2 linked regions of the Drosophila melanogaster genome follow. The protein of the gene in region 2 interacts with the protein of the main gene of each other region in a pairwise test. Each region holds a gene or a part of one and is shown on either strand. Other genes may lie near its edges.

Region 1 (3,073 bases), on a different chromosome or scaffold from region 2:
ACGATGCTACTAAATTATGTTTGCCGTTTGAACAACGAACCGAAGACACAGAGTTAAGAGTGAATAAGGCACAGAAACGGGGACAGGCAAAGATGGGAAATGGAAAAGCTCTTCCGGCAGTTGGAAAAGCGCCCACGCATGCCACCAAATTGCAGCCACAATTTGCTGCAACGAACTCAACTGAAAACTGAAAACCGAAAGTGGAGCAGGCCCATGGAAAAGCATACATCAAATGTGTCAAAGAGATTTGTTATGCATGACAGAGGCCTGTGACAGCAAACTCGCCCAAGTATCAAAAACAAGGACTATGAGATTCCCAGCGATCTGAAATTGTTTTATTTCAAAAATTTCATAGAGTACGAAATACATAACTTTAAAAGAATTCGTAATGATAAACCGAAAATTAACTATCCGTAATTTGTGCTCATTACTATACTCTGGTTTTTATTGTTATGCAATATTTAACTAAAAACATAGAACCCATTTAGATTCCCAAAAATATGGGTTCAAGAAGATTGAATATCAAAAATATCAAAAATAATTCAATGCGAAGCTTTATTGAACCGAAGCATATCCAAACTTCTTCACTGTAATGGGTTTCGAGTCAGATTGATGTGTCTGTCTGAAAAATGAGTAAATCTATATGGGTTATATACAACGTCGTTTCCCGTTTACACAAATGAATTGCGGAATAAATTTAAACGTAATGCAACTAGATGAGATTGGTTTTCTTGATAAGGTTGAGAAACTCCTCCTTGCTAACCTCACCATCACCGGAAACGTTGGCTTCGTCGATCATCTCCTGCAGTTCCTCGTCGGTGAGCTGTTCGCCCAGCTCCTTGGCCACGCGTTTCAAGTTGAGGAAGGATATGCCGCCGGTGCGATCGTCATCGAAGAAGGAAAAGGCCTTCATCATATCCTGATTAGAGTCCTTTTCCGCCATCTTCAGGCGCATCAGATATAGAAAATCGTTAAAGGCAATCCTTCCCGTCTTGTCCTTATCGATTTCGTCCATCATACGCTTTATATCCTCTTTCTTCGGCTCGAATCCCAGGGCACGAATGGCCACGCGAAGCTCCTTGGTTTCGATAAAGCCCGTGCACTGGGTGTCGAACAAATCGAAGGCTTTCTTAATGTCCACCTTCTGGCTTAGCGACAGGTCAAAGGTCGGCAGTTTGGGCTTTTTCGATTTTTTAGCCCTGCTTGAGATCGATGCACTCGAATGCATTACACTGGCGGAGGACACCATACTACCAAGTCGTTTGCCGGACATGATGATCTTATCGGCTTTTTGATGTGGGAGTCGGTAGGAATATCGATTGTTTGAGATCTGCTCTCTTGGAATGTGAACGTATACTGTGTAGAAATCGGGCGGGCTGTTCGAACTGGCCGACAGTTGGGGACTTGACCTACTCGGTTACGATAGTTTTGGGCTTGACTTTGAAGGAATTTACATTCTAAAGTCACAAAGCTGCCGAAAAAGCACTTAAATGGTCAAATGGGAGTATATTTAATTCTAAAAAAACATATCAAGGTATTGTATTGGATTATCTCTGAAATTTATCGACCCGAAGTGCTGGCTCACAGCATTTGCCATAACAATCAAAATTCATGTGTGCCCTAATACTTGGCGAACTTGAAGTCTCCTCCATTCCCCTCGCGATTCGAAGACAGCTTGGTGGCCTGAGCCCGAGCCCCAAGAGTCAGTGGGTGTGGCAGGTGTCAGTCACTCGGTCGTCAGACTACAACATCCACCTCCTACGTGCCACGCTCTGTTTGGTTAGCGCATTTGCCTGTTGCAAAACTCTGTCTGTATTTCTGGTGGAGGCACGTGCCGTTGGCTGCTCATGACTACAATTACAATTACACAAAGTGTAGCGGGGTTTCACTCACCTGGGGGTCTCCGGCTCCTCCTGTTCCTCCTCCAGATCCCATTCCCAATCCCACTCCCAGTCCGATTCCCAATCCCGTTTCCATCCCAGTCAGCGATAATTTACGATTACGCTCGCGCTCCAGTCTCATAAGTATCTGCGCATTCTGCTCGCAGGAGTAGGTGTGTGTCTTACGCTTTCGTTCCAGACTGTACTCGTACAGCGGCCTTGCCGCATTCGGTTGCAAATCCAGTTGGGCCTCGTCGCCGGCATCGCAGCTGCACAGGGACTGATTGGAGCGGCCCTTGCTCCGCTTCAGGGATCCGCGGTTCGACGACGAGGGCGTCAGGCGTTGTTCACTTACAAAATTCGAGAAGGTTACCACATTGCCAGAGGAACCTACTGGAAGATAGAAAAAAAAGTTGTTTAGCTTCCATTTAAAGTTCTAGTCCTGTCCGTCTACCACATTCTAGTAATGTGCGCTCAACTACTCTTAGCAGCAGAGGCGCTAATTGTTTACTCTACGAGTTACAGAAGAAATATACAATTAAATTTCTTTTCTAACAGAATCTTGTATAATATGTTATTAAGCTATTTAAATTTTGTCTGAAGTGCCGCATAAAAATAATTTATTATTATTTATAGCGTATTGTACATGCAAGTATAAGTACTGAATGCGCTGGTAGTAATATCTTAATTAGAGTTGTTAAGTTCTGACACTTATTTGCTTAATGAGCAAGCTGGGAAAACTTTTATATGATTGACTGATGGGCCTGGCGTTTATTTACCCCTCAGAAGGGTGCTACTCACCTGAAGTGGCTCCTTTTCGCTTGGATGGTGAGACGTAGAAGATGTCGTGCTCATCGAACTCAACGCTCCGCTGACTTGTTATGCCGACACCACCGTTCAGGCCACCCAGACCGCCCAAACCGCCGGCACCACCAAGTGCTGTGGTGGCCGTGGCCGTACTACTGCTGGTGGTGCTGGCCGCACTGTTGCCACCGCTGCTGAGGTTGCAGCCGTGATCCGCCAGGGCGTGCAGCATCGGATGCACCTGTCGATCTCTCAGGGAGTGCTGCTTGTGCAGGCCATTAGTTCGTCTTAGCTCCGTCATCGTCCTGATTTCACTCTGCGCTTCTTTTTTATTCCCGGAGCCGGCTTATTGTCATCACTCCTGCGCTCATGAAATATTCATGCCACAC
Region 2 (7,868 bases):
AAACAGTGAAACATTGAAACTCTTTTCTGTTAAAGTTTAGTCTAGTGGTAGTTTCCGCCGTTGCGATTTCCTCTGGTGCAGTTACGGTTCAGCAAATATGTTCCTTTTAATTTAAAATAAATTATGTGTACGTGTATATATAAACATATTCATTATGTGACTACTACTTCATTCAGCAAGCCTAGTTTTGATTCGCGCAAACAATTATCAGCTCTCGTTTCTCAATTCTCACTTTTCAATTCCCTCTCCATCCAGCTTTCTTCCTTCTAGTTTTTATAGTTGCGAAAAGTAATCTTAGTCAGTCTCATGGTCACGATGCAGAGTTCATTTTATAATTTTTTACTAGATAAACCATTTTTCGTCGTCGTTCAGATCGGGGTATTTCTTTCATTTGGCGACGTTGTTGATAGTGAATGAAATAGTTGATGTTGTGATTGGGGTTTAGAATAGCGTAAAATGTTGATCAAATTTGGCCAAATTTTCCTAGGTAGAGAGAAGTTACTGTATTCTGTTGTTGCGATCTGTGTGTGTGTGTGTTGTGGGGCTTGGCTTGTTAGTTTAACTACATAAATGGCGACAACATTTACGAAACCTATACATTAATAACATTGACAGTAAGATGCCACGCCCCCGCTGACAACCGACATGGGATTACCGTCGGGGAGTGCAGCATGGGCTCCACAAGTTCATCGGCCAGCCGTTGGTCCTGCGAGCCCGAGTCAATTGATCATATCTTTGGGGGCGCCTTGGCATACAGTTAATAAACTTAACATTAAAACAAACTATCGTCTTACTAACTAAAAACGATTACAGAACGGGATGTGAAAGGAGACGCAGGGTGGACAACTTGACGCGACACAAAAATAGACACGAATCTTAAATATCTAAATATAAAAACATTTATGTTCGTTATGAAATCAAACATCAAACACGGCTCAAAGCTAAATGAACACAAAAACAGCTGGCAGCCTCAAATCTAACGCCATTACATGATGATTTCAAAACCCAGATAGCCCTGAATCTTGCTCAGTTCATTGCCTGTTCAGTCATTTGGCGACACAACGTCTCCAGCTGTTCTAGGCTCTTAAAGTCGTTCATCTTGTACTCGGTGACGTGGGGCGACATGCCCAGGCTGCCCAACGGTGACTGGGACAGGCAATGGTCTACGCCATGATTGTTGTTCTTGCTGCTTTGGTGACAGATATTGTGGACACAGGCACCACCACCACCATTGGAGCACAGACAGCTGCCACTGCCCACGGCGGCAGCAGCTGCTGCCAAAAGTTGCAACTGTTGCTGGTTAATCAAATTGTTGTTCAGCATGCTGTTGTTATTATTGTTGTTGATCAGGATCTGGGGCTGATCGTGCTGGTCCTGATTCTGGTTTGGATTACTAACCATCACAACAGCGGCCATGGTCTTCTTTGGTTGTTGCTCCGCACTGGACACTCCTCCGCTAAGTTTTCTCTGCTGCTGCTGCTGCTGCGACTGCTGATTGCGTTCCAATACCAGGTTGTCGTTAGATCCGTTGTTGGTGAGCACTCCCTGACCGGGCTTAAAGATCAATTGCTGCGGTTGCTGCGGACCTCCGGCCACCAGAATAAGATTATTCAGCGACCGGCGATGCGATTGTGGTGGCGTCTGCTGAGGCAGCGCTGGAAAGTGGTTGTGTTGCTGCAACATCTGTTGCATCTGCTGGGGATGATGATGCGACTTACTAGACGGCGGCGGTGGTGGCTGCTGCTGAGGATTACCCATGAAGCTTGGGTACGAGGAGCTCTTGTACTGCGGCTGATGGGATGGACCGCCGCCATAGCCGTTGTAGTCAAACTGTGGCAGAGGCGGCGGAGCCTGCTGCGAATGATGGGGCAGCGGGTGTGGCAGGCAATTTAGCGAAAAGTTTAGCATGTCGTTGGAGTTTTTGCGGTTGTTAATCCTATCGTTGCTGCCATTTTTAGTATCGCATTTGCGAGTCTTACCATTCCATCTAAAATAACAGCTCATTTTTAAAATGCATTACTTTTTATCTTATTGAAAACCTTACCTTGGCTTGTTAATGTTCCCATTGTTTGGCCCGACGCCGGCTGGCTTGACGTGATGCATTTTGGGAACCATGGAGATCTTCATTTTGGACAACTTAAACTTCAGGTCCTTGAGTTGACTGGCGTGATTCATAAATGCCTCGTTGTGGATAGAGCGGTCTAGAATCCACATAAGCACACCCAAAGTCTCGTCGTCTTGGACAGCATACGGATCCTGCTGCAACGTATTGGTCACAATGTCAATGACCTTAAGAAAACGCAGACCAATGTTTTCCTCCGGTGGTCCTGGAGACTCCAGTGGCTTCATTGGTGTCAGCACAATATTTGTTAGCTCCTCAACCGCCGTGCTCAGCTCCATTTGACCCGATAGCAGTTCTTGTTCTACCCGGTTAAGAATATTGGCCCGTTCCTTCAGCTTATCAATGCAAAGGGCAAGCTTGTGGGAGGCGCCCTTGGTGACGCCAACACTCTGCAGAAAGTCCTCGGTGATCAAGAGCATTTCCTCGTACGTCATGTTCTTGAACAGCTCGATGTACTTGTGCAGACGCAAGGATTTTAGCCAGAGTCCGATTCCCGACATGCCCACGTTGCGCGTGTGGAACTTAATATAATTGGGCTTGAATTCATCCAGACGAGTATCGGAACCGCTGTTCATCAAGGCGCCGCGCTGATGCTCAATCGATAAGGAAAAACTACGGGGCTTGTTGGCAAACTGTGCCAGATTCTCCGTTGAATTGGAGCAGTTGTCATTGACCGTGATCACCGATGAGTTAGACGAGCTGGAACAGCTAGAGATCGTTTGCGTGGTGAGGCTGTTAGAGCGCCGCGTCTTCAGGGCTGCAATCTTGCTGTCCAGGCTCCACCGGTTGATCTCTCCAAACTGATCGCCCACGTTTCCCATAAGGATCGAGGCATAGGGAGGAGGCTGAAGCAATTGCTGCTGAAGATTCGGCGGAGGTTGCGATCGATCCTCAACAGGATTTCCACCGTTACGTCCACAAAGGCTACTGCTGGCCAGACTACAGGCCTCACCCATGTCCGCCGTCACCGGGTCAAAATCGAGAATCTCCGTGCCATTCTTGCTAAATGACGTGTCATGATCGTCGCCACCAGCGATTCCCAACATAGAGCCTGCACCAGCGACCACACCGTTGACCAGGGAAGAGCTGCCCTCCAGCGACAGGCCGAGACTGTTCTGACTAGAAGCTAATTCGTTCAGGGTAATACCATTAAGATTATCACAGAGTGGATTGATCGACCCGCTGGAGCTGCCGCCTCCATTGCCACGCCAATCACCGGCCAATTTGTTTTGCAATTGCTTGCTGGGCGGGGCGATCGTTTGCCAGTCGTTGGTGCGTGAGGAACGGCTGCCGCTTGCGGGGCACAACGAGGATGAGGCCACCGACGAACAGGATGCTGTCGAAGAGCTGGTCGCCGAAGAGGAACAGCTACCACTGCCTGTTGAGCTACCACCAGCGACCAGTTGCGGCGAGGGCTGCAGGAAGTAACTGCGATTTGTCAGGCCCGCCGCAGCCGCTTGGATATGATCCTCCAAGTGACGCAGCCAAATGTTGAGCGAACGTCTGTCCTCGCTGGTGATAGCTGGATGGATGAGTAGGTACGAGAAGATCTGCTGCACCAACTCCGTGGGCACAATTTGCTGCATGGTGTCCTTGACGGCAACTGGTATAAGGGTCAGGTAGATAAGCTTGGCCTCCTCATTGCCCGGCTTCAGCAGAGGCAGCATGTTCAGTACTTCATGCAGAATGTCCTCCTTGCGGGCATACAGCTTCCGCTCGTCACACTGCGCCGATGTGGTGATCTGGAAGTCACTGCCGTAGCATGGCATCGAGTCCTTGTCGGACGACGAGGAGGACATGGCGTCGAGCAGGTCACATGGCTGGAACGTCTTGTAGGCGTTGAGTAGATTCTGCAGGTACACCGGATTGTTGGCATTGATGTCAATAACCACGCTGCTCAGATTGGTCTGGGAGGTGCCCAGGTTCTGGGTCAGGTTGCTGTCGATAGAATACTGTAGAAACTTGAGGCTCGGGTAGCGCAGCCGCTTGAGCAGCGCGTACATCACGACGGTTCGCTCGCAGTCGTTCCACTTCTCGAAGAGATTTGTCACTGTGGTCACCTGCTCGCAAAACAGCGCATTGGACGGCTGGCTCTGGCTGGGATTGGCGTTAGAATTGGGATTGCCATTGGCGTATGTCGCCGTCGTCGTGGCCGTTGATGTGGCCTCCTTGTGGGCTGCAGTAGGCGTTGATGTGGTTGGCTGCATCTCGTTGGATGCACTGTTAGAGTTATTGGTTTGGCCGCTGATGCCGGAGGTCATCGCGTTGTCAGTTCCAGTTGCGTACTTCATCTCGTTGTTAGTTGCTTCTTGTTTTTTGGGGATAGTTCTTACTATAGTTTATGGTATTGTATTTGTTACGGCTTCTTTGTGGTTATTTGGTTGCGTTGCTGCAAGTAAAGATAACGGGGTAGGATTAATAATTGAACTATTATGTAAAGCTAAACTTTGTGACTGTGGTAATACAATTTTTTTTATGCTCAATGAGCTGTATCATTCGCTTAAAGCCTAGTTTAGCCCAATCTAATCACTTCCATAGAAAAATACCACAATTCCGAACCACGTGATCCAATCAATAGCTTCTCCCTTATTCCATGGATTTGTCGCCATTGCTCCACTCGGGATTAGAGTGCCGTGCAGCGATAATAAAATAAACTTTAAGCCGCAAATAACGTTCGAATTTAATCAAATCAGTTTTCGCTAATTTGTTAAATTTACAAGCGCAATAGCAACAACAATTATCTGTAATTGACGAATGGAAATTAGCATTTGCTTGGTCGGCTGGCTTATCAGGAAAGCAAATAAACAAGCAACAAATATATAACACCTTCGATTCGCTTTGATGGCGCAAATGACGAGGGACGATAAATCAATAAAATAACAAACATTTCAAATACGAAATCGCTGATTTCGACTTGGCGGCGTTCGGATTTTGATTTCCGGGCGGGAAAGTAGAGCGGGGGCGAGAAGTTTGGTTAGGTTGTATTTTTTTTGCACAGTTTCGCGCTTTTCATTTAGTTTCGTTTGTGCCCATTTCGAATCTTGTTTCTTCTGCCGCCGTTGCTGTTGTTGTTATTATTGCTTTTACTCTGACGACTTTCTTCGATTTTTGTTGCCGTGTTTTCACAGTAAGCACACAAAACATTGAACAAATCAACGCATGGGAGTCAAAAAATTTGAAAATTAAAGTATCTATTTTTTAATGTAAAATGTAGTTTTAAGAGAAATTGCTGCATTTTATTTTTTTATCCTGGTTTACGACATCGAGTGTTGACTGTAATCTAAGCCAGAGACAGTGTAACTGACTGTGTATTGGTACCCCAACTTAAGTTAGTGTGTGTGAGCAAGCAGTAAAACATAACGGGCCCCAATTACTGCATTTAAAGCACATTCACTGCTATGGAATTTACCGATGTTAACTTCTTTGCTATTTAACGTAACGTTTTATATGAAATTTCACATTTCCCTGCGAGACTGGGAGCGCAAAAGAGTCGTTTGGGGCGACTCGATCTAACGGTACTTGTGCATGTCGATCTTTGAGGTTATGCGTCACTGCAATTGCTGTTGTTTTCTAACCGGCTTGCAAATAAAAAAATTACCGAAGTTCAACAAAAGTTCAAAGTTCAAAGATTGCAAGCACGCACACACACGCAAACGTAAAGGATACTGCAAACTCACACGCTCTTATATATTATCGTATTTTGGCTGCCCTTTCAGCAGTCGCGATCACAGGCGCTTGGCATATTCCGAACGCTTTTATTTACATATGTACGTTGCGAATAAATTTGATTATATCTGCAAAACTGCAGATCCAACCACACAGAACAGAAGAATTGGTTTAGCACAGCGAAGCTCAGCTGAAGACGAGAAGCTGCAGTGGGGAGCACCGCGGAGGAGGAGCGGCTGATGGCGAATGATTTGGCGCTGGCGTCAGCGATTTAGAAAGAAAATGGTGGAGCTGCAGAAGCAGCGCAGCGGCAGGCAGAGCGAAACGGGCGAAAAGGAGCGCGCGCCTTTTTTTTCTGACAGGATTGATGCTGATGCTGATGCTGCTACTGCTGTCAAGAAAATGGGGAGAGCACTCACTTACACGCACACACAGACGGAGACCTTGCTGCGCTCGTCGGCAGTGGTATGTGTGCGAGTGAGAGTGACACACTGAGCAATGCACGGGCAAAATTGCGGTAAATTACATGCATTACATTTAAGGGAGAGGGGTGGGGCTCCTGCGGGGTAAGCGGGTTTTGTTGTTTTCACCACACAGAGCAGCAGCGCACAGTACACAGAACACACAAGATTGGCCCCCAAAATCACGCCCCACCCACCTAGCCACGGTCGGCCAGACAACAAAAATATATAGCTACAGTGCGCTTGTGCCAAAATTCGTTCTATTTTTCAATTACCTTTTCGCCTTCTATTCGCCTGCTGCAAACCTTGAAATTATTTTCTGTTGCAATTCACAGTTTTGATTCGATCAGCACGAGAAACGAGCATATTTCGCTAATTTGATATGCTATCGGATCGCGTATTTATTAATTTATAATTTTCACCTTTGCTCGCGCGCGCGTTTGTGTGAGTGCGTATGTGTGTACTTTTTATTAGCACTTTTGGGCTTTAGCGTTGTTGTTTTTGCTAAACCATTACTTTTTTTTAGACACACAATTCATGGCGCTTACGCTCACAAACGCCCGATTACTGAGTACTGCGCACGGTTGCTGTTGCACTTGGTCGGATGCATGTTTCGCCAGCTAATCCATTTTTTCAGCAATTAATTAATTATTTATTCACGCGAACGCAGCGTTGCTAGTGCTGGAACAAAAATCGATGTGTACTCGATACAGTCGATCTTTCTTGCAAGCGGTTATCGGTTACTTTCCCTTGGTGATGGACGCTCAGTTGAGCAGCAAAGCTGCCCTAGGTTCGATGCCGTGCTCATGCAGCGCGGACTCAAACCACGGTTTTAGCTAGAAAATTGCCAACAAAAATGATCTCCGCGCTTTGGCCTATTTCTGTGGTTATTTGACAGTAAGCGGAGACGGTGACACTGTACCACCAATTGGAACAAAATAAGGATATTTTCTTTTTGCATTTTGCTCGATATGCAATGCAGAAAATATCCAGCGAGGCTCTGAATCAAGGCTCTGGGATAGCGTTCAGCTCGAGGAAGTGATTGAAACGATAAATACATCCCGGAACGGCCACAATCCCGACAAAAACAAACGCTCTGGTCAACAACAATACATCATCAACAAAATTCTTTCAACCTGCTGCAGAGCAAAATGTTTGCCCAAAACCAAAAGGCCAGCTTCCTGGAGCAGACAAAGGCGGCGCGGGAGGAGCGGGCACTGGAAAAGCGACGCGAACAGGCGGCCATCCTGCTGCAGTCCACGCTCAAGGGATATGCGGCGCGTAGGAAGTACCAGAAACGAATCATGTAAGTGTCTATCTACTTTTATGGAACATCCTAAATAGTAACCCGTTTTGCAGACTCGATTTCGATGCCATGTTCACTGAGAATCATGACGATAAGGATGCGGAACTGGAACTCGTGGCAAGCAACGTCTATCCGGTGCTTCGTCGCTACCTCACCCAGATCAGGCTGGACAAGAGCGATGTGCGTGCACGGGAGCGTCTGGAGCGCATCTGCCGTTACATCATCAAGGCAATGGAGTCGGAGAACACCAAGCTATCCTATGCCGCCCTCTGTCTTTTTAAGGAACGCAGCCTGCCCTGGATCGCGCACATCA

Evidence for each region. The genes of interacting proteins can lie anywhere in the genome.
Region 1: the proteins of smg (region 2) and CG31802 interact in a two-hybrid assay, tested with the Drosophila melanogaster proteins (one large-scale study listed by BioGRID).

What each region holds. Positions count from the first base shown.
Region 1 is NT_033779.5:18,207,876-18,210,948, forward strand, and holds CG31802 (uncharacterized protein), read right to left. Parts: upstream 1,363-3,073; 5' UTR 1,274-1,362; coding exon 713-1,273; 3' UTR 540-712; downstream 1-539. Other genes in the region: CG42750 (uncharacterized protein), read right to left, coding at 1,894-2,273, 2,682-2,985.
Region 2 is NT_037436.4:8,991,055-8,998,922, forward strand, and holds the start of smg (smaug), read right to left. Parts: upstream 6,041-7,868; 5' UTR 5,800-6,040; intron 5,518-5,799; exon of another isoform or gene 5,428-5,517; intron 5,196-5,427; exon of another isoform or gene 5,008-5,195; intron 4,864-5,007; exon of another isoform or gene 4,669-4,863; intron 4,512-4,668; 5' UTR 4,414-4,511; coding exon 2,045-4,413; intron 1,988-2,044; coding exon 1,027-1,987; 3' UTR 990-1,026; intron 484-989; coding exon of another isoform or gene 442-483; 3' UTR 1-441. Other genes in the region: CG5087 (uncharacterized protein), read left to right, coding at 7,401-7,555, 7,609-7,868. UniProt on the Drosophila melanogaster protein: Translation regulator that binds to the 3'-UTR of specific mRNAs such as nanos (nos) and prevents their translation. Prevents translation of unlocalized nanos in the bulk cytoplasm via the recruitment of cup.